Linked DNA regions of Lonchura striata. The protein of the gene in region 4 purifies or fractionates together with the protein of the main gene of each other region. This does not show direct contact. Links are inferred from orthologs where the notes say so. Each region holds a gene or a part of one and is shown on either strand. Other genes may lie near its edges. The genes, in order: SS18, BCL7A, SMARCD2 and ARID1B.

Region 1 (6,899 bases), on a different chromosome or scaffold from region 4:
CTAAACCAAAAATTGCATTTTTTCCCTTTTGCCATCTTCCTTTTTCATCTACTGAAAGACCCTTCTACTTTAGGATCTGCTCTGTTACCTGATGGTATTGTTGATGTTACAAAAAACCTAGATAAACACCTCCTTTATTTTTTAAATTTCAAGATGAAAAAGTAGTCTACTCTGAAAAAGAGGCTTAAATTCACCGCTATCCTATCTGTTAGCAGTAGATCCTGAGCGATCATCCATCCTTACTATAGCAAAGAAAATGAGTGTGTTGCTGTCAGTTGGAGTGAGTACAGAAAATTAGGTGCTCTCACCAAAAAAGATTTGTCTAAGAAACACCTGGCTCATAGGAAGAATTCTTAACTTTCATATCAAGACCTGCAGTCATTAAAGTCTTTAAGCAAGTGGTGCTACCATAAAATTCTTTGCTGTCCCTTTCTTACATATATAGCTTCATAAATACTACATTTAAATTTTTTAAATTTAAAATGTACATTTGAGAATGTTAATGAATCAGCATTCTCTATTTTCCTTCTTGTGGATGGAAATGTCCATGACTCTGAGGAAATTCAGATAACACAAGTGGCAGACAACAAGTTGTTACTAAGAAATATGAGTTGGAAACATAGGAAAAAAGTCTTCCGGAAAAGGACTGATCCTCCTCTGTCTGAATTTTTCTCTCTCCAAAAAATATGACTTACTCAAATGCACACCAACAAAAAAGAAAGACTACACTGATAAAAGTCGGAATAGAGGTGGAAATAAGATCTCATTGAAACATGTTTGCATTTGAAACTCTTGATGATGACTGAGATTTATTCATCTAAATTACAATTAAATAATGTTAAGGTTGTGAGTAACTCACAAGAGCAAAGAAATGTGCAATTAAAGGGAAAATATACCATATGTCCTTTGATATCTAGACATATTGCAGTGCATTAAGGAAGTCATAAAAGAGACACCCTGTTGTGGTTATGTGTTCTGAGACATGTGGCACATTTCCATTGTAGCTATCTATTTCCCTGCTTGTATGCATCTGTGCCATTATTTAAATGTTGATTTTGAATGTGAATTTCTCTTTGCATGGTAATAAAACCCAGAGCTTCAGACTTGCTTTTTTCAATGTTTGTTTAGATTTGCTGCTATTTATGAATGTGGAAGTCCAAAATGTTAAACACATGAATGAAAAAATATCACAACTGGCAAAAAAAAAAAAAAAAAGAATTTAATTTAATCCTCAGACAAAATGAGTTAAAGGAGATAGTTTTAACAACAATGAATTAATAATCTTATATCTTTCCTCTAGAAACTGACAAAGTTGTATTTCAAACACTGCTCTCCTGTATTTTGCATGGAACAAGGAATATACTAAAAAAAAAAAATCACATAGTTAGTTTGGACTATCTGGGGAAATAAAATGAGAAATTACTGCTTTAGTTTTAAGGTTCCTCACCTGTGGCCTCCCACAAGATTATTTTTTTTTTCCCTCAACTCAGAGCCAACCTGAAAATGTGGAAGAATAAAATGTAACATTTAGATCCTAGAAGCAGTGTTTATGTGGCTGGCATCTAACCCATCATCTCAAACATTGTGATCATCAAGGCATCACAGTGCAAAATACTTTATACACAGGGGTCGGGTAACCAGAGTAGGACATCCAGATGTCACACCTGTGAAAAAGGGAAAACATTTTGTGGCAATACCAGTGTTCAGTATATTTCATAGGAATGTGTTTCCTATGCCTGCAGCCTTGGGACACTTTCTGACACCTCACCAGTTCTTCAGGGACAAGTATATGTTAAAAAAAACCAATCCTCATAATTCTATTACTAACTGGGTAGGAGATGGTTGGTTCTGATTTGGCCATGGCCAAATCAGAAAACCCTACAAATGAAGAATGAAGAATTCTTCATTTGTAGAGTTCTTTGCTGCTGTTTGTAGTAACTAAAAAAGTACCAATTTGAACACAGGTACTACAACAGTTACTCTCTGAGTTCACTCCAAGACCATGTAATAATAACCATAGATCACCATGAAGCGTATCAACTTTAGAAAAATATGGTTTCTTCAAATCTTCCTCTTTTATTTTTGGTTTCCTGCAAGTATTGTAGTAGTGATGATGATGATGGCGGTGATGATAAAGTGTGTAACAGACAGAAAAAATGGACTAAAATAGTCCAGAAAATGGACCACAGTGGTGAGTGAAATGGTTACAAACACAAAGTAAAGGACATGCTGGCATTGATCCATCTTAGCATAACCTACAGAGCAAGCACTGAGCCACAGATATTTCCTAGAGAAAAGCAAACCAGATTAGCATCCCATCAACTCTGGGTCCTGTATAATCTGAAGAGGCGGGGCAGTAGCGTCATTCTGGTAACACAGAGCATCAGGTCCAGGGGGCAAGCCCTTGGGGAGTGGGATACTGTAGGAATGCAATAGTTTGGAGCCAGCAAGCCTGGGGGAGAAAGCAGGGGGTGATGGGCAGTCGCAGCATATCCTGAGACAGCAGAGCCAGCATGAGTAATCGTCATGGGGCTGGGGACAGGAGCCAGCATAAATCCAGTGTGAGGAGAGAGCATGCCAGTTGGGAAGCAGCTGCACAGCCATGGATGCCACTGACAAACGTGTGCTGTGACCAAAAGGCCTGGCTTTTTTAGCCAGGGCCTTCCGCCAGCAACTGCTGAGAACCAGAGCAAGCAAGCAAGGCTCAAGATTCACGTCTTGTGGCGTGGGCTGTGGTATCCTGTCACCGGGCAGGCAGTGTCCTGCCAGCCACAGAAGCACACACACCTCGGCCAGCTGCAAGAGCAGCCACCACTTGGCCAAAGGCCAACTCTGTATCCTAGCCTGTAGTGTGGCACTGGAATACACACAGGCTGGGCAAAGGATGTGCCCAGGAACAAGAAGGTTTAAAATACTTTGGTTGGGGACCTTCATGTCCCTGTACCAACTGCTGGTTGCAACTCTTCATTCTTCCAAAATCTGTCTTAGACTTTGCAGACTTGTCCACAAGGCTCTCTGGCAACACTAAGATTCCCTCCAGTGGCTGCACTGAAACAAATCAAGGCTGGTTTCAGGGCTTCCAGCGTTTGTAATTTTATGTTTAATGCTGCTTCTTCTTGCTCTGTTTCACTTTTAGGGCAGGAAACCTGCAGCCGCCCAACTCATCGAGGAAAGCCGTCCCAAGCCCCTGGGCGGCTTGTTCCAGTGCTCTGCTACCGTCCACGTAAAAAAGCCCTTCCTCATGTCGAAGTGGAAATTTCTTGTGTTCTAGTTTATGGCCATCGCTCCATGTCCTGTCGCTGGGCACCACTCTCTTGACACCCTCCTTTGAGACGTGTACATGGATTAATGAATCGTCTCTTCTCTAGACTAACCGGGTCAGCTCCCGCAGTCTCTCCTCATGAGATGCTCCAGACCCCACAACAGGTGCCCCCGCACTCCCAGCGCCCACCTCCCGCATCTCCCGTCCCGTCCCGTCCCGCTCCACCCCGCGCTGCGCCAGAGGGGGCTGCCCGGGTGCAACCAATGCGGCGCTGGGCAGAGGGGGGAGTAGAGACTGCCTCCCGGCACAGCCCTAGCGTGTCCCCTGCAACGTGCGCGCCACAACATCGCCACTCCCCCCAGCCGACCGTACCACTTCCCTGCTATGAGGCTCTTCGGGCAGGAACGTACCAATGCGGCAGAGGGAAAGGGGAAGCTAAGAAAGGCGCGTGACAAGGCTGTGCGTGGAGATCACTTTCGAAGCGGCTCAGGATCGGCTCTCGGTCCAGTTGTTCTGGCCGGGCCGTGCGGGGCAGCCACGGTGTCATTGAGGTGCCCCCTCGCCAAGGAGAAAAGCAGGGAGGAGCCGCCGGTCTTCCTTAACCCCTTCCCCCGGCGGGATGGGGATGGGCCGTCCCACCGGGCGCGCGCCCCCGCCCCACCGCGCGCCGCGTTCTTCCCGGATCGCCGCCGCTGCTGGGTCCGCGGGGCGCGCGCGCGAACGGGCGGGAGCGGCCGCGGAGGCTCCGGCGCCCACCAGACATGTCGGTGGCGTTCGCGGCCCCGAGGCAGCGGGGCAAGGGCGAGATCACGCCGGCCGCCATCCAGAAGGTGAGGACGGCGCGAAGAGCAGGGCCCGGCCCGGCCCGGGCGGCCCCGGGGGCTGCAGCTGCCGCTTCCTGCCGCGCGGGGAACGGGGGCGGCGGCGGCTCAGGCCCGCAGCGCCGAGGCCCCGGCGGGGAAGGGAGGCGGCCGGGCCGCACTCCCTGTGCCCGGGGCTCGGCCCCTGTCTCTGCACTTGGACACTTGTTGGAGGGTCCCGGGGCCGGCGAGAGGAGGCGGGCGGTGTCCTGGGTGTTTGCAGCCCTCGTTTTTCTTCCTTCGCTTGGGCTGCCCCGATCGCCCCGCTGGACTGAATTTACCCGAGAGGACTCGGCCTGGAAGCGGAGAGTCGAGTAAATCCTTCCTGCGGGAGGGCTCTGACAGTGGGACCGCGGCCGGTTTGTTCCAGACCCTCTGCCCGACTGGGCGCTGCGGAGTAGGAGGCGGCTTCAGTTCCCAAACTTGGTCGACCTGGTAGTTAAGGCTGCCTCCCAGTAAGCCTTAGGTGTGATTGAAGAAGAATATCGCGTTCGGAGCCAGTGACAGCCGCTCCGGACGACTCCACCTAAGCTTGTGTGGGAGGGAGCAAGTTAACTCTAAAGCCATCAAAGAAACGCGCATACAGGATTAATAATAATCCACAGCAGCAGCAAAGGAGCGTGTTCAAGTTCACTGGTAACTGTGTGGTATTTAGAAACTTAACTCAAGACTTGTACCGTCATTGGTGTGGGTGGCCGTGGATCAAACAGATTTCAGATTGGTACCATCCCCTTATGTAGAGGAGTCCTTTAAGTAGATAGATCTAACATCCGATTTAGTAAAGAATTAGAATCTCTACAAAGCAGGTGCTGCAGCGATATGGACCTCAGAGAAGACCTTGGAGCTGTAAGGGAAACATCCAGGGTACTGAGGGGGAAGTCAGTGCTTGGGAATTGTAGATAAAAAATACATATCCACTGGGTGGAAAGCTGCACAGAGGTAGTCAGTAGAGACTTCAGGATGCTGAGGTGCCATGGAGAATACAGATGATAAAGTTTTCCTGGGTCTGTAGTCAAACCATTAGTTCAGTGGTGGTGTGCTGGCAAAACCCCAGTGTTAAAGTTGAAGAATTTTTGTAGTACCTAAGTTGTCAGAAGCCCTGAAGGTATCTTCATCCAGCTGGAAACTAAATTCTCTTTTGATGGTAGATGTTTATAATTATTACAATTTTCTGTCAGCAAACACTAATTTAAACTTCTAAAAAGCAGTTGACTGTAGCCCTACCTAGGATACAGTTATAATCCTTTTTGTTCCCTTTCCTTTTAGCCCCTAGCATTCCTGCCCCCCTCCAGTCCTTTGCTTCTCAAGAGGTGTGTCTTACATGGCTGTAATGAAGAATGCAACCATCTAATGGGCAGTTTCAAGGTCTACTTGTCTGCTAAGCCTTAAGAATCTGCTGTTTCCCTCAGAACTGTGGGAGATATTTTGAGGAGGACCTTGATTCACAGCTTCCTTTGCAAGTCCTCTATTAGACTTTGGTATCAATCGTATTATCTAATTTTTTCCTTTTTTTCCTGAAATGATGAAAATGGCCACTGTGTTTCTTACAAAGCTTGAAGTTAGTACACGTGCTGTGTGCCAATGTTGCAGTGTGTGATCCTCTTCAGAGAGTGCAGTTGTAGCTTTGCCTGGTTTCTGAGGCTCACAAAGTAGCTGAAAATACTGCAGTTATGTCTGTGTTTAGGGCTTAATGAATATGTTTCCAGATCCAACAGTTTCAGGCAAAATACTTGTACTGGGATCATTCTAGTCCATTCTGGTGAATTACGGTTTAAAGTTCAAGAAAACTTGGCTGGTTCTTATGTGGATAGAAGTCCTGAGTGAACTGCATAAGGTGTTTGACTCCATACTCTTTTCATAGTAGACATGGATTAAGTGGGGAAAAAACTGACACTACTTTTTTTGTTGTTTTTTCCCTCTCTGTAGAATTTGTTAGGGGAATAAAGGTTGTGGTATGATGTTGTGCTTTCCTTGTGGAAGGATGAGTCTACTCATGGCTGTTTTCAACCATGTTTGGAAGAAGGAGAGAATGTGTAGGATGTTTTAAGGTTCTGCTTGTTTTGTGATATTCAGAAGCTGGGTAAAGGGATCTAAACTAGCTTTCCAGTCAGAGAAAGCAAAGGAGTAAATTGATGCAAAAATTTACATTTGGCATTAAATTTTCCATTTCTATAAGCTGACTTGGATAACTTGGCTGATGGCTCAGATTAGCCATGGTTCTGTTGAATCTTGCCTGATCAGAGTGCAGAGCATGAGCTGGAAAGATGAGTGTGGGTTACATTCACTCTAGGAGACTGGGTCGTTTTTTTCCCTGTTTAGAGAGCTTGGAACACTTTGTGAACTTTTTGTAGAAAGTTGTGAAATTGGCCATTTTCCATGATTTTTTTAGAACTACTCATTTTTGGTAAGAAAATTAATTAGTAAGTATTCATTTTCATGGACACTGCTGAAGTATGTTAGATTTATTGTGTCCATTGTCCTGGTTCTGGCCACCGCAGGATTAATTCTTGCAATAGCCAGGGAGGGTCTCATGGCGTGGATCTGGAGGTTATTCTGTAGCACCTCACTTAATTTTCTGGGGATGGGGGAAGGGGTCATGTGTTGTGGTGTCATCAGGTATTGTTGGGGGCTGTATGTGATGAGCACTTGAATGTGAATAATTTGCCCTCTTGTACTCTCCATTAGTAGTATTTTTGCTATTGTTATTGTTTGCTTCTTATTTCAGTGGTATTTCCAGTAAATTTTTGCTATCTCAACTGGTGATCTTAACCTTTTGT
Region 2 (7,630 bases), on a different chromosome or scaffold from region 4:
GTATTTCCCCCCATTTAATAAATCAGACTTTGACAAAAAACAAGAGTGTCTTCAGTATTTTTCTAGTACTGGTTGAGGGCACAATAGTTTTTGTCCCTCTCTTCTTGAGAGCCCACTTGGAATCTACATGTACCCATCAACTTTTAAAGCCAAAAAAACAATCCTGTACCATTAATTGAGACAAAGTAATCTCAGAGGATTTTTTAAAATAGACTGACAGAAGAATTTTAAGTACTGGTAAAGAAAGGTAGAATTGTTCACTTACTGTGGAAATTTAACATTTCTGCCACACAAACACAAGGCAACCATGTATTCTGTAAGCCACGTGCTGCGTGTTTTCCAAAACAGATGCTCATTCATGAGCGTGGTTTAAACAAAGGAGATAAGGTTACAGTAATCTCACGATAAAAACATAACAACTTCACTGTTTACTACTAAGTTCCAGCAATAACCAGAAGTGCCACGTGCTCTGTGAGCAGACAGGAAGACAGAGGAGCTGCATCCAAGTGCTGGCTGTCCAGGAACACTGATTTTCTGAGGAACAAAGTCTGCCCTGATGGAAGCTGCCCTCCAGCAGGCACGTTCACATCCCTGTGGCAGCACAGGGATTCGGGAGCACCAAGCACAGGTGGATGATGCCTTGGATAAAGCCATCCTCCACTCGGATGAGTTCCCAGCCCCGTCTGTCTCCCTGCCCATCCCTGGCACGCACTGCTCTGAGCACACAAGTCTCACAAAACTCTCTTCTAGGAAATGCTGGACGCAAGGTATTTTAATTTTCAGTGGCTGCATTTCCACAGAAGAGCTGTGGATGGCAACAAATTGCTCCTATTATGCAAATGAAACTGCACACTTGGAAATTGCCGATGTGGCTCTTCTGAAGATGCAGGAATTGCTAGTGTGGAAAGTTCAATTTAACAAGCCAAGTCTTCTCAAAACACTGAAACCACAAAACACAGAATCTCTCTAGCTAATTTCCCGCTGTATTTGACTGCAGGTGGAGGGGGGGTAACCATGAGATTCAACTGCAAATTATGATTCCTTTAAAAATAAGAAATTTGCTTTATGTAAATACTTGTGAGGTGCACGCACAAAAAGTCATATTGATACTTCTGACAATAATCAACAGAAACACTGAATGACTTACAGGAACCCTCTACAGCAATTGTCTATCGTGAAGGTTAAAATGTAGAGAAATCTATTTATACCACAAGATTTCTGTTTTACAGAAAGAGCCATAGCAACTGGCATGATGGCAGAGAGTCCTTGCCAAGAAAAAAATAAATAAATTAGGTATTTTGTTGAATGGCCAAGCTTCTGTCTCTACTCCTCTCTGAATTCCACAAACCAGGATTCAAAGGGAGCGTGCAGAGCTCATGAATGAAATACCTACAGACAGAACAGTCCCACACATCCAACCACGCTCCAGCTGGAACAAAAGTCCTGTCACACCGCTGCACATTGTTCTGACCTTCCAAAGCCGGCCCAGCAGTCAGCAAACTGCACTTAAAAACAAACCCGAGTAGAAGAGAGTTCCTGAAACCACCCGAGCTGCTCCGGCTCCCTACACAAAGGCTGGATTCTCTGAAATCCCCGTCCCGTGCCCGGTGCTCCTGGACACACGTCCCGGTCCCGATTCTTTGTCCGGCTCACGCCAACGGGCCCATTCGTGTGCTCAAAGCCATTTAAAACTTAACAAACCATTTCACTCTAATACGAACACGTTCAACTCTATCTTTGGCTCTTTTTTTAACGAAAACAAAGCGTTAGGTGAGGAGGACAATAGAAGTGTCCCCTTGATTTCAAACCTGCAAACCAGCTGAATGATGCACAGTAACAATAATGCAAGGAAATTTCCTCGTGGATTCCAAACGTTTAAAGGAAGTATTTTAAGATACATGCACAGAGACTGCTGAACAGTCAGGCAACTTGCTGGAAGAAAGATTCACTCTTGAGTCACAGCGGCACTGCTCTTTATGCCATCCCAAATCCCCGGACCGACCATGCAGAGCACGGCGCGACCGCTGCACTGTATTGTTTAAACACCTCGTGTGGGTTTTTCTAACAAAAGCAGGGGGAAAAAAGACAAAAGCGGGGAAATGCCAAAACGCGCTGAAGGCCTAACAAAAGGGACTTACTTCACACGGGGTATAACCTATAATTTGATGATTTAAGAGAGGTTCCAGGGGCAGTTCGCGCTCTCTCCCGTAGAGTCAGTGGGAGACGATCGCGCTCGGGTTTGCTGCGCTTTTACGCACAAACCCCGGGAACTCGGGAGGTGAAATCAATCCACAAACAGGCAACGACAAAAAATAAACTCTCGGGAGCTTCAGAGGGGTATTCTTAACGTGTTTTCTTTTTTTCCAGAACACTTCTCCGAGCACAATTTCCACCCAGAAGAGCGGGCGGCGGAGCCACCCCGGGCCCGCTCCTCGGGCCCTTTGTAGGGGCCGGCGGCGGGAGGCGCCCGGCCCGACCCCGCCGCCCGCCCATGCCCGAGGCGCCCGGCCCGGGCCCCGCGGCGAGGGGCGGCGGGCCGGGGTCCGCGGGGAGCGGCGGGGGCGGCGGGGAGGGGGCTCGGCCGCACAATGGAGCCGCCTCTCGCCCTCACACGCCGCCGCCGCCTTCATGTGACTCGCCGGAGCGAAATGGCTGCTGGGTGCCGCCGGCTCCCCGCCCCCCGCGGCCGCCGGCGAGCCCCGGAGCCGCGCGGGGCCGGCGCGGGGCGCGGGGGACGCGGGCGCGGGGTCCCGGCGCGGCGCGGCCCGCTCACCATTTGCGCACTTTCTCGATGGCCGCCATCACCCGCTTGATATCATCCTTCGCCCGGCTCCGGGTCTCGGCCCGCACCGACCGGCCCGACATGCTGCTGGGGGGCGGCGGGCTCGGCGGGGAACGCGGCGCTCGGCGCGGCCGGCGGCTCGGTCCGTGTGTCGGGGCGCCCGCCCGCACAATGCCGGGGCTGCGCGGGGCTCGGCACGGCTGCGCTCGGCGGCTCCGCTCGGCTCCGCCCGCCCGCCCGGCGGGGCCCGCGCTCCGCGCACGCGCGCGGCCGGCGGGGAGGGGCGGGGCGGGCGCCGTGAGGGGACGGCGGGCGGCGGGAAGAGCGGCGGGGCCGTGAGGGAGCGGAGCGGGCTCCGAGCCCCGCGCGGCCCTGCGGAGGAGCCACCGGGCGGGAAGGAGCCCCCGCGGGGGAGAACCGGGAGGCGGCCGCCCGCCCCGCGCGCTTCCGGAGTTCCCGTCGCTGGTTTGCCTCGAGCGTTCGCTGGAGAGAACACAAGACAACGTTCTTTCCCCACTCCCACCCAGCTCAGGCCGTAAGTTACCCCAGAACTAAAAAGTTTTGCCGATTTCAGCTCGCCTCCACCCTAAAGGGTCAGCAGGAGCTGCCCAGGGAGGCGGTGTAATCCTTTAGAGAAAGACTGGATGTGGCACTTGGTGCTATGGTTTAGTTGACAAGGTGGTGACCCGTCAAGGGTTGGATCCCACAGATCTTTTCCAACCAAATTGGTTCTCGTGATTCTGTGATAATCCAACGCAGTCTAGCAGCATCAAGAGCTCAGTTACATTTTACCACAAAGAAAAATCCAGTCCTAAAATCCAGGGTTTTTACAAACCTCAAAACACTTTACATAGAGATAATACCTATTTTTGTACAGGGCAGTGACAAACATCCATCCTATCCTTGCACCAGTTGCCATGACAGACCTTGAACATGGGTATGTGTGATGAAGTCCCCTGTTTTACACGAAGCATAAATCCATAATCAGCAGATTTTAGGTTTGTTTCCCCAGTGGTTATAAAGTTTCTCAGCTGCTTTAACTAATTCCAGCAATATCCATTGAATTGGGCTGCTTTTGAGCAGTGGAGGCTCAGCTCCGACAGAAATCCATGGAATTACATGAGCATAAAGGCTAAATGAGTTACATGGGAGGTGATGCTCTGCAGGAAATTTGTCACAGACCTGCGAGCTCTGGTGTGGTACTGCTGGACTCCTTCATTAACTTCTCCCTAATGCACACCTTGCTGTTGTTGCTAATTGTACAATCACAGATGCTCTGAGTACACAACAGCGATCTCTGTTTAAAAAACATTGCTTCTGAAAGGAACGCTTCTTAAGGGCCTACATTATTATTCAAATTGATGCCAAGGATGATGTAAAGAAGGAAGCTGTTCAACAGCACTTCACTGATCTTTCTACAGCAACTTGTATCAGTCTCATTATGCTGTTTATACACACACAGAGTAATGCCGTCCCATTGGTATTACACTGCTAATTGGAATCTCTACTTTCAGAAAGAAAAAGTCAGTTTAAAGGCCAAAAGAGAAGCGTGGTTTTAATGTGTACCACAGCATTTATTTCTTTACCAAGGTCCATTGGATTTATAATTACAAATCCATTCTAACCTGTCAAAGCATTTATCAATGTATTTAATCAATACAATACTCTTACGTTGCTCTTTTGCTGTCAGGTTTCACAAATGAATACTGTCTTAACGTAATGAAAATAGACTGCATCTGGCATAAACCCACCTGAAATGACTTCTGGGAATGTTCCAGCCAAGGATGGAGTGGCCACCTGCTTCATTCTTTCCAGCCATTCAATGTTTCCCTATATAGGTGTGAAATTACAGGTTTGTGGCATGGCCCAAACTGGGGACTTACTCTAGAGTTTGACTGAAATTTAACTATGTGACCTTTACTTTGCAATAAACACAAGCCATAAATTTTGCAGATATTTGAGGAGAGGATCCTGGAAAGTAGGAATAAACAGAAAATCTAGTGGTCGCTAGATTCTGTGCCTTTGTAGATCAAAGATTCTTCTTTTTCCTTGTGTTCTTTTTTTCTGGTTCAGCAATAGGTAAGCCAAGAATGTCTGCAACAAATATCTCTGCTGTGATTTCTGCTGGAATTTCTTCTTCAATCAAAGCTGCTGCACCTGGAGAGCAATAACAGCATCAGAAGACACACAAAAGCCATGTCAAAATTGCTCTCCAGTAAAATTTATAAGCAGCAATAAGTGAATGAAATGTTTTTAAAGATGTACAAAGAGATCATGACAAAGTGACAGTTTACTAGCTTGATACTTTATGTGTTTATATCAGGAATTAAGCCTGTCAAATCTGTGTGTCTCACCTTGCAGCAGGTCCCTGCCTCAGACGAGTCATGGGACAACTTTAACACTTGGTCAATTTAATGTGATTTAGGATCCTGAGGGATCCAGGGATTTCAGAGTTTCAAAGTTCCCTTCAGGAGCAGCACCTTTGCTGCATGGCGCCCATTGCCAGTGACCCTAAACAGATTCTGTTCCAAACTGGTGGGGACTGGGACATGAATTGTACAAAAATGCAGTTCCAATTACAATGGGCAATTAAATTCAGCCTCTTGGCTCAAATCAATGCTATAATTTGCTGTTCCAGACTGGTGTGGACTGGGACATAAATTGCAGACAAATGCTCTCGTTACCAACAGCTCTGTTACAATGGGCACTGCGGCCTGGGTGAAACCAGCCCTGGGATTTCCCTGTGTGTTTCTAATTTCAGTTCCAGCCAGCAGATAAACAGCAATGTAATCTTGTCAGGCCCTAGTTATAGTTCATTGTCCATTTATTTTTAGATACACCCGTGCAATTGCTGCGTGGATGAAGGACAGTCTGTAGCTCTGTGACTATTTTTGCAATCCCATCTGAGCAGCTTTGACAGCTCTTGGCCTAACAGGGTAAATGGGTTTGAAATTTAAATTATTCCATTTGGGAATTAAACAGTCCTGCTTCTCTGCTGTGTGGAATGCTAATCCTGTACCTGTGGGATCGCAGGTGTCCAGTTCAGATCTTTCTTTCCTGGGTCTCCTGCCCAGCAGGGTGGTCAGACACTCAGCCAGCTCGTCCTCTGTCATCTGCTCCCCTGTACAAAATGGAGCACCACCACCGTTGGGTTATGGGGTCAATAGCACAAAAACTCAAAAGCAACTGCAATTAAACTAAACAGGACAGTTCAAAAGAGGACCTGGCTTCTCTGAGATAGAGACATATACAGTGCCAACTGAAACACATGATTCCAATGCAGGAAAATGTTGATCCTAAGGAAAATTGTCTTCTCTATAGCATTTTGGGGGAAAATGTCAATCAAAAGAAGAAATTATGATGCAGACTGCTCTTTAAGCAACACTGTAGTAGCAGGGGCTTGAGCTTCTCTTCCCACTGGAGAATTCCTGGCAGAGACCACAGTCCATGTAGCCATTTTCATGCAGAGGAAGAGAAAGGTGGAGAAAAGTCTTAATTTAGTATCTTGAAATAACATGGACACAGCACTTGTTCCCAGTTAGTGGTTGGCTCACGCCCTGGAGCATGAGGTTATAGATCTGTTATGAAACTGTTCTATCTGATGTACCTATTTATGGATGTTCACACCATCTGTATAAATAGCTAACCTTTCTCACACTGGTTGAATCCGTGGTTTCCAAGGATCTTTGTGGCAAGGAGTCTTGCCAAGTGATGTACTGAGTAAATCAGCATTTCCCTTTACCTGTTTTAATGCTCGGCTACACTTTTACACCAGAAGTAAGACAATAGAAGTTTGTTATTAGCACTCTATGGCACTGGCCACAAACAAATTAACACCCACGTTTATGGTGTTCTCCCTGATTCAGCTCAACTGAATCATCCCATCTTTTCAGTCTTTCACACTGGGTGCAGCCTAGGACCAATTTCATCCCTCCTTTCTTGTGTCCCTTTTATCCATTTTATACTACTTTTCCAGAACCTGTGTGACTAGAAGAGAAAACAGCAATTCAGATAAGGGCACACTGGGAGAAGGATACATTTTGCCAAGATCCATACTTATCATTTAACAGCTGAGATACCTCAGGCCAGCAGAGATTTCCAGAGCAGTAAAAGAAGCACAGCTGGGACAAGACAAGTGATTATTCAATTTAAAATCTGAAGGCAGGTGGCTCCTCACGCCTGCCCTGGTTACCAGGTTCTCATTCCAGGATAATTTCTTGCTGCAGGGAAAAAGTTCTGAAATTGCAGGCAGAACTAGCAAGCATAAAACTGATATTAGAAACAAAATAGCTCACCTCTGCACTGAAGCAGTGATAGGAAGTCTCCTCTGTCGATAACTTTGTCTCCCTTCTTGTTATCATAGCCAAGAACCTGAAATGCTCGTTGTATGGTTTTCATTGACAAGCCAAGTGCAGGTCGATGATTTATATAAAGTTTGATAAAATCATCTAAATTGATTTTTGTCACTTCTTCTCCAGTATCTGCATACTTGCTGAATTTTACTTCGTTTATCATGTCTTCAATCTAAAGATCAAGACAAGGCAGATGTTACATGTTTTATTTTTAAGAACATTGGGCCAGTTTCCAATCCCATGAATGCCAATGTCCCTGAACTGTGCATGTGTTGGTGCCATGACCACATCCCAGGAGGAAGCTTCATTCAGCAGCTGAGGATGGGAATGGCCAACAGTCACACACCTGCTGACATGACAATAACAAGTAAAGATGGGGGTTACACACACACACAGTCAGTTTGGATTTCCTCTCTTGTGACAGGCACTCGGTGACCCTACAGCTGTTAGTGGCACCTTGGGCACAGCTGTGTCTCCACTCTGGAACAGTGGGCAG
Region 3 (7,968 bases), on a different chromosome or scaffold from region 4:
GCACAGGCACAGCCCCCAGCAGACCCAGCACACATCCTGGAATGTCTCCAGCAGCAGCAGAGCTGTCTGGGCTGGACAAACCTGCCCGTCCACAGCCCTGCAGCTGGAGCCCTGAATGTTCCAGGGCAGGGAAAGGAGAGGTCACAGGGACTCAGATCCCACAGGGGCAGGAACAAGGAACAAAGGGAATTTCTGTTCAATCCCAGGCTCCTCCTGGGGAGATGGGCTTGGCACAAACCCTGCCCGTGGTGTTCCTGCAGGGCCAAACTTTCTGGAGGGTTCCCGGGAAGGCGCTGTGGAAGCAGAGGGAGCAGCAGGGCTGGAGGTGTTGCTGTTCCCCCTTCCCTGTCACGTTTCCCAGGAGCAGCAGAGCGTGCTTGGGCTCTGCTCTGCCCTCCTCCCCTGCTCCAAAGGACAGTGTCCATCTGCTTTGGATCAGGCTGGAAGCAGCTCCAGGCTCGGGCTCTGATGAAACCTGACTTGGAAAGCCTCTCCCTGGGGAAGGGTGGGGTTATCCAGCACAAGCAGCCTTATGGAACAGCTCTAGGCCTGGCTGCTGGCCCCTGGCCCCCTCCAAGCCAGTCCCCACCACTGCATGAGCAGGAACACTGTTCTCCCTGCTCCCCAAGGGGTGGATTTCTCCCACACTGCACCCTCTCCAGGCCACTTTCACGTGGCACAACATTCCACACTTCTTCAGCTGCTCCAAGGATTTCTCCATGAAGCCCAACTTCCCTTCCCACTGCCATCTGCCCAGGGACAGGATCACAGAGCTGCTTCCAGGCTTGGGAGTTCTCAGCCTGCAGCAGCCTCCTGGCCAGGGAATCCAGGCTCTGTCTTCCCAACACGTGCCAATAAAATCCATTTAATGGGGACCTAATTCTGCACCAGGGAAGCATCAGCAGGGCCAGAGCGCTGAATTCCAAGGTCTCATCCCACACTGATTCACGCTGCTCCAGGCCACGGTGTTAATCCCAAAACATGGGAAAAACTCTCCTACACCTGAAGCCAGCACCTGAAAAAGCAGGAAGGCTCCTTCCCACTGAACTTCCATGAAACCTGGCTGCTGGGGCTCAGCCTGGGCATCCTGGGGAGAGGGATCAGGGTGGGGGATCTGCCCACACCCCCTACCACGCCTGATGCTCCTGCTCCTGGAAAAGGCCTCTCCTTCCTGCTCCAGGCATGGCACTGGCCCCTGGCTGCTCCAGAAACATCAGCTCCCACCAAAGGAGCCCCCTGGACTCCCTGCCTGGGCTGCCAGGAAATCCCCAGCAGGCACACAAGGATGTCCAAAGGACGAACATATGTTTAATAATCCCGAGATTAGAGCTCCTAAGCCCTCACTGGCCTGGCCTCGGCCTTTTCTGTCTCCTGGTGCCCAAACAACACAGCTCTTCCTAAAACTGGGACAGAACCAAGCCCTGGGGGGATGGCAGAGATGGGAGGGGTTGTTTTCCTCAGCCTGGGAATTGCAAAACAAAGGGCAGACCCGCCTGGATCCTCTCCCGGGCTCAGGGAGAGGCCACTCAACACCAGCCCCGGGGCGGATCCCGCTGTGTGTGTGGGGACATCACCGCGGGGCCAGCACAGCACCGCGGGGCCATCGCCCCCTGCCCCCGACACCTGCTGCCAGCCCAGCCTGGGGAAGCAGCATCTGCCAGCCTGTTTACCCGGCTGCTCCAGCTGGCTCCAGCCTCCCAGCTGGATTTTGCACCCTGCACACGGAAGGTCAGGCAGTGCTCCCGCCTCGAGTTACCAGCGGCTCACACCCGGCCAGCTCAGCTTCCAACACCATTTTCTGGCGTTTTGAAGGCTGCAGGAGGAAGTTGTTTCCTTCTCCTGTGTTAAGGAGCCGGAATTTCCCTGCGCTTGGTTTATTTCCTGAGTTTTAAATCATGCAAATCAGGCACAGCTCTGGAGGAGGCAGCGGCGGCCCAGGAGAATGTGTTGCACAACTGGGCGCCTCCATTTCCAGCCTGCCTCGAAAACTGAGCTTTATATCTGAAAACTCATTCCCGAAATAATCAGCACAAACTTGGGAGTGAACTGAGAAGCCAAGTGTGCAAGGGGGAGCAGGAAAGTGTGTCAGGATATACTTCTAACTGCTGGAATAATAGAGAAATATGCAGTGGTTTGGGTGGGAAGGGACCTTAAATCCACCCCTGCCATGGCAGGGACACCTCCCACTGTCCCAGGCTGCTCCAGCCCTGTCCAGCCTGGCCTTGGGCACTGCCAGGGATCCAGGGGCACCACAGCTGCTCTGGACACCCTGTGCCAGGGCCTGCCCACCCTGCCAGGGAACAATTCCCAATTCCCAATCTCCCATCCATCCCTGCCCAATGGCAGTGGGAGCCATTCCCTGGGTCCTGTCCCTCCAGGCGCTTGTAAACACAGTTCTTACTTCCTGAATTTACTCGTAAAAGATGCCAGGCTGAAAAACGAGTGATTTAATTTCTTTTGGAGGGCTGCTGGTTGTTTGGGTTTACTTTCCCCAACGCTACCGAGCGCCCGCTCTCCTCCCCCACCACTAAGCAAGCCCCGGTCCTTCCGGAGGACACTCCGAGGATACTCCGAGGATACTCCGAGGTTACATCCGCGCACCACGCGCTGCCTCTGCCAGGGCACGAACGCGCTCCCGGCGGCTCCGCGCGGGGCCGGGCCGGGACGGCTGCGGAGGGACCGGCCCGGGCCCCGGCAGCGACCCCGGCCCGGCCCGGCCCGGAGCTCGGAGGGGCCGGGGCCGGGCCCGGCCCAACTTCCCGCGGGCTGGGAGGGCGCAAAGTGTGAGCCGGGACGAGGGAGGAGCCCCGGCTAACGGCGGCGCAGAGCGGCCGCCCCGGGGCTGCCGGGCCCGCTCCGGGCGATGCCGGCCGGGCCCGCCGCCTGCCCCGGGAAGGCCCCGCCGGCCCGCCCGGGCCCCGCCGCCCTCCCGCCGCCCCGGGCTCTCACCTGGTACTGCGCGGCGGCCGGGCCCATGGCGCGGTAGCCCGGGGCGGCGGCGGGCGCGGGGCTGGGGCCGCGCAGCAGGGCGGTGCCGGGCCCCGGGGCCGGCGGGGCGGCGGACGGCGGCAGCGGGCTCAGCGGGAAGGCGCCGCGCCCGGCCATGGCGGGGCCGCAGCGGACGGGACGGGGCGGGGAGGCCCCGGCGGCGGCTCCGAGCGGCGGCGCCGGACCGGGAACAGGACCAGGACCGGGACCGGGACCGGGAACGGCTCCGCGCCCGCCGCCTCAGGCCCCGCCCCCCGGACAGCCCCGGCCCCGCCCCGGTCCCGCCCCCGTGCCGCGCGCGCACCCGGGAGCTCCGCCCACTCCGGCACAGGCTCCACCCCCAGCCCCGGGCGGGACGTGCGTGAGTGACGTAAGCGTGCGTGAGTGACGTCAGCGTGCGTGCGTGCGTAACGCACGCGCGTGGGCACCTGTGTGTGCGTGTGCGTGTGCGTGTGTGTGTGTGTGTGAGAGAGAGAGAGAACAGCGTGTGTGTGTGTGAGTGTGAGTGTGAGTGAGAACAGCGTGTGTGTGTGTGTGTGTGTGTTCGTGTGTGTGTGTGAGTGTGAGAGAGAACAGCGTGTATGTATGTGTGTGTTCATGTGTGTGTGTGTGTGTGTGAGAGAACAGCGTGTGTGTGTGTGCGTGTGCGTGTTCGTGTGTGTGTGTGCGTGTGAGAGAACAGTGTGTGTATGCGCGTGTGTGCGTGTGTGTGTGAGAGAGCAGCGTGTGTGTGTTCGTGTATGTGTGTGTGTGAGAGAGAACAGCGTGTGTGTGTGCGCGTGCGTGTGTGTGTGTGTGTGAGAACAGCGTGTCTGTGTGTGCACCTGTGTGTGTGTGTGTGTGCGTGTGTGTGTGTGAGAACAGCGTGTCTGTGTGTGCACCTGTGTGTGTGTGTGTGTGCGTGTGTGCGTGTGAGAACAGCGTGTCTGTGTGTGCACCTGTGTGTGTGTGTATGTGAGAACAGCTCTGTGTGCACCTCTGTGTGTGTGTGTGTGTGTGTGTGAACAGCTGTGTGTGTGTGTGTGTGTGTGTGTGTGTGCACCTGTGTGTGTGTGAACAGCTGTGTATGTGTGTGTGAACAGCTCTGTGTGTGTGTGTGTGCACCTGTGTGTGTGTGAACAGCTGTATATGTGTGTGTGTGAACAGCTGTGTGTGTGTGTGTGAACAGCTGTGTGTGTGTGTAAACAGCTCTGTGTTTGTGTGTGAACAGCTGTATGTGTGTGTGTGTGTGCACCTGTGTTTGAACAGCTGTTTGTGTGAACAGCTGTGTGTGTGTGAACATGTGTGTGTGTGAAAAGCTGTGTGTGTGTGTGTGCACCTCTGTGTGTGTGTGCACCTGTGTGTATGTGACTGTGCACCTGTGTGTGTGTGTGTGTGCACGTGAGTGTGTGTGCAGGCGTGAACATCTGTGTGTGTGTGTAGGTGTGTGTGAGCACCTGTGTATGAACACACGTGTGTCTGTAGCATGAACCCAAGAAGGTGTGCAGGTTCATCACGAGTGGGGGTGTGTGTGTGCATTGATACAGGCGTTTGTGAGTGACACAGGTGTGTGAGTGATACAGGTGTGTGTGTGACACAGGTGTGTGTGTGTGACACAGGTGTTTCTGTGTGACACAGGTGTGTGTGTGACAGGTGTGTGTGTGTGACAGGTGTGTGTGTGTGACACAGGTGTGTGTGTGACACAGGTGTGTGTGTGACACAGATATGTGTGTGACACAGGTGTGTGTGTGTGACACAGGTGTTTCTGTGTGACACAGGTGTAGGTATGGCGCAGGTGTGTGTGTGACACAGGTGTTTCTGTGTGACACAGGTGTAGGTATGGCGCAGGTGTGTGTGTGACACAGGTGTGTGTGTGACAGGTGTAGGTCTGACACAGGTGTCGGTATGACATGGGTGTGTGTGTGACACAGGTGTGTGAGTGACAGGTGTGTGTGTGACACAGATGTGTGTGTGACACAGGTGTGTGTGTGTGACACAGGTGTGCGGGGGTGTTTGTTTGCACACCTAACGTGGGGGCTCTATGTTGGTGCCTCGCGTGTTTGCACACGCGTGTGTGCCGGTGCAAGATGTGGGCACGGGGGTCCCGCGGGACGGGCGGCGCTCGGCTCTGGGCGAAGGAGCCGGGGGTCCCGCACACCTGGGGCGGCTGCGGGCAGCGCGGCACCTGCGGGAAGCTCGGCGGTCCGGGGATCTCGGGGCTCGGGGGCGTCCCTGGGCTCTCAGCAGCCCCGGGGACTGTGGGGCTCACAACGCAGAGATCTCGGGGCTCTCGGCGATTTGGGGCTCTCAGTGATTTGGGGCTCTCAGTGATTCGGGGCTCAGTGATCTCAGGGATCTCAGTGATCTCGGGGCTCTCAGTGATTTGGGGCTCTCAGTGATTCGGGGCTCACGGCGATCTCGGGGCTCACAGTCGCACACTGAGTTTGGAATGTCTCGGGGTCGTGGGGATCTCGGGGGTTGTGGTGGTCCCGGGAGTCAGGAGGCCGTGGGTGTCTCAGTGTTCCCGGTGTTCCCGGTGTTCCTGATGTTCTCAGCGATCCTGGTGATCCCAGTGGTCCCAGTATTCTCCGTGTTCCTGGTGTTTCACTGTTCCCGGTGTTCTCAGCAGTCCCGGTGTTCTTGGTGTTCCCGGTGTTCTCAATGTTCTCAGTGTTCCCGGTATTCCTGGTGTTCCCAGTGTTCTCAATGTTCTCGGTGTTCCCGGTATTCCCGGTGGTCTTGGTGTTCCAGTGTTCCTGGTGTTCCCGGTATTCCCGGTGTTCCCGGTGTTCCCGGTGTTCCCGGTATTCCCAGTATTCCCCATATTCCCCATATTACCAGTATTCCCGGTATTCCAGGTGTTCCCAGTGTTCCCGGTATTCCCGCTGTTCCCGGTATTCCCCATATTCCCGGTGTTCCCGATATTCCCCATATTCCCCATATTCCCGGTGTTCCCGTTGTTCCCGGTGTTCCCGGTATTCCCGGTGTTCCCGGGGGTCGCGGCTGTTCCGCGGCGTGGCCGCCAGGGGGCGCTGGAGGGTCGCGCTCCGCTGTCGGAACAAAATCCCCGAAATGCCCAAAATTCCCCAAATTCCCGTAAATCCGGGCAGGGATCCTCTGAACGGCGCTTCAGGGCTGTGTTTCCAAACCCTCCTGCTCTATAGCCACACCTGGACGCTCCCACAGCGCGCTTGAAGCACCACCAAAACCCTTGGGAAGGGCTGACACCTCAATAAAGGGAACCAAACCCTGTCCGGGGGCGATCTGAGCCGCTGATAACCCTCAGGGAAATCCCGGGAAAGGCTGGAATTTCTGGGCGCTGCCACAGGGCACTCAGAGATGCTCAGAGCCCGCCCCGTGCCCAGGAATTCCTCACGTGCTGGGTCTATCCCAGGCTGGCATCACACCCTCACTGCAGGTGTAGTTGCAAGTGTTCCCATGGTTTTGGGGAGGTTTCCAGGATTTTGAGGCAGTCTGTGTCCTGCCTAGTCCCTGTTTGTCCAGGGACAAGGATGGGCAGGAGGAGTGACAGTGACGTTCCCCTGCAGTGGCTTCACCACAAGACCCCAGGCACAGGGCACAGGTGACAGCTGAGCCTCCTCACCCCGTGGGTGTCACTGAAGGCCCTCCCCCGAGCAGAATTCCTGAGTATTAAAGGTTGGAAAAGGCTCCTTTCCCCCTTACAGGGCTCAAGCTCTCAGTGGGATTTGTCCCAGTCTCGTTCCTGGTGGCTCTGTGGGACAGCAGTGGGGACAAGTGTTCATTCCCTGGGGGACACCCAGGGCTCTGCTCTTCAGTCACTGAGATGATTTTCCATCTTCCTTCAGAGAGGACTGTGCTGGGCACTCTTTCCCATAGGAAAACAATTTTCCAGGATCTGGAGCTCCTTTTCCCACTCATAGGTAAGAAAAAATCTGAACTGGAGAAGCCTCTCCTCATGGATTTTTTGCTTTTACTGAAATGGAGGCAATGTTTCCAATTCAAAATAAACTGGAAAACAGGTGGGCAAGGACAAGGCTTGAGCTGAGCCTGATTTCTGTCTCCAGGCAGGTCCCAGCCATCCCTCTGGGATGCAGAAGGGATGGGATTGCAGGGAAATCAGGCAGGGATTGTGAGGATTAGGGCTTTATTGCTTTTCCAGCTCTGTTGTTATTCCTGTTGTCTTACCTGAGCCCATGGAAAGTCGCAAGGCCTGGGGACACCTCAGGACATCAGGTCCTCCTCCCATCCCTGCCTGGCTGAATGACCTTCAGGAAGTTGCTCTTTCCCCCTTTTTCCCTCTCTCCTCAGTGTTCCTCACCCTGCTGGAGTGGGAACTGCTCCATCCCAAAGTGCTGCTGCCAGCAGGAGCTTCCCCTGCCCGGGGCAAATGCTCTCAAGGAACCACAGCTCCATTTTCCCAGCAGGAAAACACCTCTGGAAGTATTCCCAGTCCTCAGCAGGGTGTTTTTGATGTGCTGCCTGCAGCACCTCCCTGCTCCACTCCACCTCCAGGGCTCATCAGACGTTTTAGTAAAGCCTCCTTCCCCTTTTCCCTCCCTGCAGCCCCTGGAGCTCCCAGGAACACCAGGCTCCATCCTCTCCCTTCTTCAGGTGCTGGTTTCAGTCCCCTCCTCCTGAGACATTTTCCAAGACTTGGAGACCCCAGCAATGAATGGCTTTGCTGGAATTCCTCTGGAATTGAGGAACTTTCCCAGCAGCCAGCAGGTGCCAGCTCAGGATAAACCCAGAGGATGCTGACTAAAGGATCTGCACTGTGGTGGTTAAAGGTGATTACTCTTCCTTCTCCTCCATCATTTGGCTGAAACCCAATTAACCAGACCCTGTTAATCAGCCTAGGTGAGGCTCAGTGCTTGCCTGGGAAGGTGCTTGCTCCTGGCTGTCTGCAGGGAGCAGGGAATCTTCACCTCTGGATGGAAAACCAGGAACATCCTGTGCATATTTTTCATTTAAATCTGTGCCCATGGCCACTCCATACCTTGGGGTGGAAGGGGATATTCC
Region 4 (7,781 bases):
CAACTCGGAGGCAGCTGTCGGGAGACGGTTGCAGCCAGTTTACCTCCACAATTCAAATTCCCAACCTGGCGGGCGGAGGAGACCCGGACGCTCCTCCAAGGGTCGCGCCCGGCAGCCGGCATTCCTGCCGCGCCGCGCCGCGCCGCGCCGCCCCGGAAAGGCGCTACGCCGCGCCCGCCGCCCCGCGATCATCGCGCCTGCCTATCGATCGGATCCATCCATCCATCGATCGCCGGAGTTACCGGGGCTGGGGGAGAGGAGTGCGGGAGGGAGCGGGGGCGGCGGCCTGCGCCGGTGCCCGCGCCCCATCGCTTACGCCAAGGACTTTTCCCTCTTTTTTTTTTTTTTTTCCCCTTTCTCCTTTTTTCTTTTTTTTTTTTTTTTTTTTTTTTAATTTCCGCGTGTGTTTGCGGAGAAGTGAAAGGCAATTACGCGTCCGCGCACCGGGCACGCTCCTGCCGGCGGGCGAGTCCCCTGCAGGTCACCGGGCCGGGACGACCCGCGCGGACCGGGCGCACACGCGCGCACACACGCGCGCGCGCGCTCTTCCCACAGGGAAAGGAGCGCGGCCGCGTTACGTGGATCTCACTGCGGTAACTCCAATCAGTGACAAACTAATTTGCTGAGAGCGCGCAACGGCGCAACTCGTTCTGCTCGGAGATCGAAAAAAAAAAAAAAAAAAAAAAAAAAAAAAAAAAAAAGGCAACGGGTTAAAGAGAGAAGGAAAAAAAGGCCCCGTGAAAGATAATGGACGTTATCCCCCGGGAGCCCCCCGGTCCGGCACTCCGGTTACAAAATCCAATCCCCCGCCCCCGTCCGTCCCGAGCTGTTTGTCCTCCGGGCCCTGCGTCTCTCCGACACTGTTTCAAAGTGGTGGGAGAAAATATTAATTGGGTCTGAGAACAACCTAATTTCGGCAGCGAAAGCCACACTCCGGTGCCTCCAGCCCCAACGCATTGTGCACAGCTCACCCTCGCTACGGAGGCAGCGAGGGGCAAAAGTGGCCCAGAAGAGAACGGGGGGGGGGGGGGGGGGAGGGGGGAAGGGGGGGGTAAAGAGAAAAAAAAATAAAATACAAAAAAAAGGGGGTGGGGGAGAGAAAGAAAGTGAATTATAAAGAAACTAAGACCCCGACACGAGCGACACAGACACGAACCGTCATTAACCGAGCGCGGGGAGTTACCTGGGTCCTGCTGATGGCCTGCCCGGTGTTCCCGGGGCTCATCGCCGGGTGGTTCCTTTGTTGAGCCGCTGCCCAGGCCGGGTTCGCCGCTCCGTACTGGGCGCCCATGTCCTTGCCCATGCCCATGCCCGCCGCTGCCTGCTGGCTTCCCGGGGCGGCCGCCGCTGCCTGGGGCTGGGGTTGCGGCGGGGCGCTGGGGCTGCTGTAGTCGGGGTAGCTGCTGCCGTAGCTCCGCATCATGGGGCTGGGGGACGTGAGCAGCTGGTTCAGGGTAGGGGTGGCCCCGGACGGGTGCTGGTTCTGCCCGGAGAACCGCGCAAAGCCGCCGGCCGCCGCCGCCGCGCCGGCACCAGCCTTGCCGAGGCCGGCTCCGCCGCCGGGGCCCATCATCATGCCGCCGCCGGGCTGCCTCGGGGAGCTCAGCACCCCGTATCCCGCCGCGGAGCCCCCGTAGCCGCCGCCGCCTGCCCCAGCGGCCGCCGCCGCCGCCGCCACGGCTCCCGCGCCGCCGCCGCCGCCCGCGCCGCCGCCGCCGGGGCCGCGGCCGTAGCCCGGGTAGTGGTTGTACTGGCTGTTGGGGTACCCTTCGTGGGAGTTCTGCAGGGGGTCCATGCTGTTGGGGGCCGCCGTGGGGTGCATTATCCCCATCCCAGGGCTTTGTTGTCCGCCATGTTGATCAAAGCAAGGCCCGGCGCGGCTCGCCGTAGCGCTGCTGGCAGGGGCAGGGGCAGGGTTGCCATAATAGCTATTGAACTCCGAGACACCCACCGCGGAGGGGCCGCCGCCGCCTCCCCCGCTCCCGCCGCCGCCGCCGAGGCCGCCGCCGCCGCTCCCAGCGCTCGGGGGCGGCTGCTGGGGCTGCTGCTGTCCGCCCAGGGGTCCCAAGCCGGGGTGGTCGTAGCGGCCGCCGATGGGCTCGCCCATCTTGCCGGGCATCTCCTCCTCGTCGGCGCCTTTATTCAGCATTTGCTGCGGCTGCTGGGTGGGCTCGGCCTGAGCGCCCAAAACACTGTCTTTTCCTCCATGTTGCTGCTGCTCCATGTCTGCACTGGGCTGAGCAGCGCCGCCACCGCCACCGCCGTTGTTGTTGCTGCCGCTGCCGCCGCCGCCGCCGCCGAGGCTGCTGTTGTTATTCTGCACGGGATGGTGCTGAGGCGGCGGCTGCTGCGGCGGCGGCGGCGGGAATTGATTTAGCTGCTGCTGTAGTGCATGGTGGTGGTGGTGCGGGTGGTGGGCATGGTGGTGGTGGGCATGGTGATGCGGGTGGTGGGCATGGTGGTGGTGGGGCGGCGCGGCGGGGTGATCGCCTCCGACGCTCTTCAGCTTGTGGTTGGGGAGCAGCCCCGTCTCCATAGCCGAGCCCGGGTTGGAGGAGGAGGAGGAGGAGGAGGAAGAAGACGAAGAAGATAACTCCGAGGAGCTTCCACCTTCCTTCAGAGCCGGCTCCGAGGAGGAGCCGCCACCGCCGCCGCTGGCGTTGTTGTTGTTACCGGCGGCAGCGGCGGGAGCCGCGTTATTGGCCATGTTCGGCGGCTCGCCGCGGTGGTGGTGGTGGAGATGGTGATCTAAATTATTCACGCTGTTGCTGCCGGCCGGACTCCCCTCGCCGACCCCCAGTGCGGGGCCCGGCCCGGGAGCCCCGGCCCCCCCCGGGCCTCGCTCTGGGCCCAGGCCGCTCGGCAGGCTCGGGGCTTTGCCCTTGCTGTTGTTCGCACTCGCCGGAGCCGCTGCGACTTGCGCGGCCATGATCATCGCAACATTGCGAGTCCGGAGAAATTGGTGCAGATAATAGTAACTACAGAAAAATTTAAAAAACCCCAAAACTGAAAAACTAAACAAACAAAAAAAAAATCTACTCCCACCCTGAAAAATGGGGGGTGAGCAGAGGGGTGGGGGGAAGGAGAGGAGAGGGGCAGAAGGGGAAGCGGCCGGGGCAGGGACTTGACTGAGCCCAGAGTATCCCCTGCGGACCGCTCCGCACGCACCGAGTTACAGCGATTTCCCTCCCCGAGTCCGTGGTTGAGGTTAGAAATGGTAAGAACGCCTTACGGTCCGTGCCCGTTCCCGCTGTGTGATTTCACGTTGAAAGTTTTTTGTTCAGGTTTAAATGAAACTTTTTTTTTTCTCCTCCTTTCCTCCCTAACCCGGATATGGGTAAACACACGTCTGCCGGAGCCGCGCTGGCCCAGCATGGCATGAGCGAGCGAGCGAGCCAGCGCCGGCAGCCATCGCCCCCTCCGCCCCGATCGCTCCCGCGCACCCGCAAAACGCGGACTGGACTCCACGCTGGACTCGATCGGGCGCCCGCTCCCCTCCCTGCTCTCCCGGCAGCGCGGCGGGATGGGGGGCGCGGCCCTCGCGGGTCCCCCCGCTCCCAGCGGGGTCCCGCCCGTGTGCGCGCCGGGGGTCGCGGCCTGCGCGGAGCACCGAACCCGCGGGAGCTGCTCCGAGCGAGGGGTCGAGGCGGGCCCCGACGGGCGCCGCTGGGCGGGGCGGGGAGCGGGACTGTCCCCGGTGCTGCGGGGCCGAGGGTGCCGCCGGCGGCGCTGCCCCGCGCGGGCCGGTTCGGCGGGAGGGAGGCGAGGAGCCGCCATGCGCTCCAGCTGTGCCGGAGAAGATGGATCGGTCAAACTTTGGGGGGCCGCACGCTGCCCCCCAGCCCCGTGTTCCGTGCTCAGCAGCCGCCTCCTGTTCCGAGGGCAGGGACACGTTTGTCCGTGTGACGGAGAAATTAGACTTGTTTTGGATTCCCCCCCCACAAGCCACCCGCCCCTTGAAGATTTATATTTGTATGTATAGACGGTTATAACATTTAACCTACAATTCTGCAGTGGTAGCATCTTTGCAGTTGTCCACATTGTCCAGCTGTCTCCAAATTCTAACGGTCATTTGCACTGATGATGCTTTTATATATAGGGCCGTTTTCAATATGTTCTGTGTACTTATTTGCAGTTCAACAAGAGATGATCAAAGAGCCAGAGACATTTTCAGTCTCATAATTGATTCCCCAAACAATATAATTTCCAGTATGCACAAGACACTCATGTAAACGTAGTAACACAAAACCCAAAATATATAATCTGAGTAACTTGCTCCAAATGGAAAGCTGCTGCTGACCTACATTTTTGAACTAGAATGGTTTGAAGGTTTTTTTATAACTATCTTAATACAAGGGATACCTTAGTATAACAAAAGGTAATAGTCACACATTACGTTGAACTAATGAAAGCATTTGGGAGATTAAATACTTGGCTATGAATACAGCAAACTGGGATATTAGCGAACGTTTTCAAAACAGCAAGGGTCTAAACCACGATGTTTTAAATTAATATATTTATACGGTCTGTTAAAGTTAAGCACGTTTTCAAATTTCAAAATGGATAAATAGGAGATACAATCATAATGGTAGAGAAAAAAGCATATCAAGAAAGATGCTGTCATGAGTAGGTAGGCTTTTTTGAATTCACTGTGAAAATATTAAAGGAGCAGAAGCTTCATGCTCTAATGTTGAGTTACATGTAAAGATTATTGATAAATGTATGAGCAGTGTGATTCCAGCGTCTATTAATTTTAGTTCTGTCTGAAAAGTCAAAAATATTATGATTTGCATTAGGGAGTTAGTTTTGAAAAGTCTCAGTGCTCGAGAAGTACATCTTGCTAATACTTCTGTTTTACAGTTGTGGGGTTTGGTTTTTTTTTGTTGGTTGGTGGTTTTGTGGTTTTTTGGATTTTTTTGTATCCTTTGCAAGTGCAAAAATGTTGTATGGCTACACATATATAAACACAGAGTGGGAAAAAAAAAAATGGTGAGTAATTCTAGCGGGGGGAATCAGGTGCATACCCAAGGGTCATTACAGTCTGTAACAACAACAAATTGCAATTCTATGCAAACTGCTAGAAAGGGATATATCATCTTTGTAGGAGAGAGAATAACAGAACCGTAAGATGAATTCATGCCAAATCATTCATCTGCTTTTGCCAAGAGAATACTACATCTTTGTTAGTGAGCCTTTTTGACATTATCTCCTGGATTTTCTTCTTTTCTATATTCAAATGCACGCTAATTATACACATTAAACCACCTAAGTTGATTTTAAAAGTCTTTCATATGCAAATAAAAATATAGACTTCTCCTTGTGTGTATTTCTTTACATGTGTACTCTAACATAAAATATAAAATCAATTAAACACTTATACTTTGAGACATTTCTATTTGAGCAAAAATACGTGTATCGATGATCTGCTAAGATGTGCTGATAGTGCCCGGGCTGCAGATCGCAGTACTTCCTGACACACTCCGCAACTCTTTCCAATCGGGAAAATAACCCGCAAAAGTTTAACACAGATTTACTTTGAAATGTTTTCTCTGGGAAAAGGACAAAAAAAGCACGAGGCTTTAAACTGAAGAGTTCGTACCACTAACTCCTTTTCCTCCCATTTGTTTCAGCAACTCGGCTACAAGATTGGAACTAAGAGGCTATAAAATTGAGGCCCTCAGCACAATGAAATCAGTCTGCTATAAAAGGCAACACATGCCAGTTTTTCCTCCCCAATGGCAGATGCCACACCCTAAAGCAGACAGAAGGCACTGCAGTCTGTGCAAGGGAAGCACAACACAAAGCAACAACGATGGTTCAATTTTCTAGAGCGCAAATAATGTTGAAATTCCTTTTGCCATCTTTGCTCAGATGATGAGTGGTAGTGTTTGTTAAATTCAAATGCTTCTTTCCAAAAGCTCTCATTGTATGCATGAATTATGAATTTATTATAATATAATGTAAAAAAGCTTTAATTACCGTGCATATTATCTGCTGCAAAGTGATTGCATTGATATTTGATATCGCAAGTGCGCAGTTTCAACTTTAGTTTTATTTTCATTGTTCCTTCCATTTGATTATTTTCTATAAACCAGTGTTGTCCAAGTGTAATTTATTTCTCTTTATTTTTCTTGATAAATTATAAACTGTGGTGCTCTAGGATCCCTCATCAAAATAAACAACATAATTTTCTAAACTTGCTGTTGGTAATTTGTTTACACCATTGGCTACAGCATTTATACAGACACCCTAGGCCACCTGTCTGTATCTCAAGCCCATGAAAGTTACTGCTTTTCCCCTCAGTACAGCAGCCATCCTTCTGTTTGGCCTTCCAAGTCATACAAAGAGTAACACTGAAGAGAGAGACGGAAAACAAACCAATATTGTAATATCTCTGAGATGTTATGTTAGAGGTATTGGGAAAAATATGTTAAATTTTTTTGGTAAAAATCCAATCTGAGTTTCAAGACCCTGTTGGATTTGACATTGGTGTGCACAGGAATCTGAAAAATCTCTGTGTACAAAAGAAGGAGCTTTTCATTGGGATCTTGTTGTGCTTTATGGTTAAATACACTGCACAATTTAATGAAACTGTTGTCAAATTCACTGTAATTCTCAATTTCCTTCTTTTACATTTGCATTTGATTTAATGAGAAAAAAAGAGAGAAGTATGGGGACTTTTATTAAATTATCACTTCTATTACTAGTTAAACATCCAATCAAAATCATTCTGAAGTCAGTGCAAATCTTTTAATTTATTTCAATAAGGCATAAATCAGATCACAGAAAAGTAGGCAGCCAGCTCAGGGTTGTTTTAGCCTGGCATTTAGAACTATAGTAATGGAATTTTGCTTTAAAAGATCCCTTATGTGGTCAACATATAAATATAACACAGGGTTGTTTTCTTTATTATGTAATATTTACATTTCAGTCACAAATGTAAAAAATAAACTAGTGCCATAGATGTCCAGCTGATAAGCCAGATTCTGTTAGGTGTAAAGCCTGTAAGGTAAGTGTAAAAATTTTATTTTAGCTGGACAAAGTGAACTTTGAAAAAAATGTGGTTTATGCCAACAGATCATGGCCTAAAACACGCAGAGAGTGACACATTGTACCAATTAATTAAAATCCAATCTTTAGCAGCTACTAATCCTGGGCAATTTAATCCATTTCTTCTGGCAATGTGTGAACAAAAGGACTTTACAACATCACCATCACCATCTCGAAAATGTCATACATTATTTTATTATGAAGATGCAACCCGCTAGAGTTAGATCACTTGAATAGACTGCTTAAATGCCTCAATTTTACAAATGCGAATCATCCATTGAAGTCAGTAAGATCACTTGCTTCCTTAAACTTAAGCCCTGTGCTTCTGTGCTTAAGTCCTGTGCTTCTGTGGACTGAGGCCTCTGTGAAAAAACAGCTCTTGTGTCTCTGTTTTGGTGAGATAGGGGTCCAACCAATTGTCTAAGCCAAAACAAAATCTTGCATTTGGCAGTAATAGAAGGATTGTTGATTTCAGGGTTCACCTACCAGTGAAATCTAAGCCTTTAAACTGAGTTACTCTAATATTTCTGGATCCTGTGCCAATGTTTGAGAACATCATTGCATTTTGGAGAAATTTAGGAAAAGGCTGGCCTTCCTTTGAATTAATAATTTATGATCACATTTTTTATAAATTAGAAAAGTTAAACAAGAATCAGTATAACAGTAATCATAGAGTTCTCTGCCAAGTTTCTTTCCCATTCTCCTGCCTTTTACAAATCTTTTCTGATGTG

The links.
Region 1: the proteins of ARID1B (region 4) and SS18 purify together in Homo sapiens (affinity purification with mass spectrometry; 4 studies listed by BioGRID and IntAct, counting the BioPlex papers as one, with this or other methods). This does not show direct contact. The link is inferred for Lonchura striata from reciprocal best matches to the Homo sapiens genes ARID1B and SS18.
Region 2: the proteins of ARID1B (region 4) and BCL7A purify together in Homo sapiens (affinity purification with mass spectrometry; 4 studies listed by BioGRID and IntAct, counting the BioPlex papers as one, with this or other methods). This does not show direct contact. The link is inferred for Lonchura striata from reciprocal best matches to the Homo sapiens genes ARID1B and BCL7A.
Region 3: the proteins of ARID1B (region 4) and SMARCD2 purify together in Homo sapiens (affinity purification with mass spectrometry; 5 studies listed by BioGRID and IntAct, with this or other methods). This does not show direct contact. The link is inferred for Lonchura striata from reciprocal best matches to the Homo sapiens genes ARID1B and SMARCD2.

The regions. Positions count from the first base shown.
Region 1 is NC_134603.1:46,049,086-46,055,984, forward strand, and holds the start of SS18 (protein SSXT), read left to right. Parts: upstream 1-3,896; 5' UTR 3,897-4,023; coding exon 4,024-4,092; intron 4,093-6,899. UniProt on the Homo sapiens protein: Appears to function synergistically with RBM14 as a transcriptional coactivator. Isoform 1 and isoform 2 function in nuclear receptor coactivation. Isoform 1 and isoform 2 function in general transcriptional coactivation.
Region 2 is NC_134620.1:12,285,027-12,292,656, forward strand, and holds the start of BCL7A (B-cell CLL/lymphoma 7 protein family member A), read right to left. Parts: upstream 3,002-7,630; 5' UTR 2,866-3,001; coding exon 2,774-2,865; intron 1-2,773.
Region 3 is NC_134627.1:1,869,160-1,877,127, reverse strand, and holds the start of SMARCD2 (SWI/SNF-related matrix-associated actin-dependent regulator of chromatin subfamily D member 2), read right to left. Parts: upstream 3,003-7,968; 5' UTR 2,977-3,002; coding exon 2,950-2,976; intron 1-2,949. UniProt on the Homo sapiens protein: Involved in transcriptional activation and repression of select genes by chromatin remodeling (alteration of DNA-nucleosome topology).
Region 4 is NC_134605.1:54,590,816-54,598,596, forward strand, and holds the start of ARID1B (AT-rich interactive domain-containing protein 1B), read right to left. Parts: upstream 3,009-7,781; 5' UTR 2,936-3,008; coding exon 1,184-2,935; intron 1-1,183. UniProt on the Homo sapiens protein: Involved in transcriptional activation and repression of select genes by chromatin remodeling (alteration of DNA-nucleosome topology).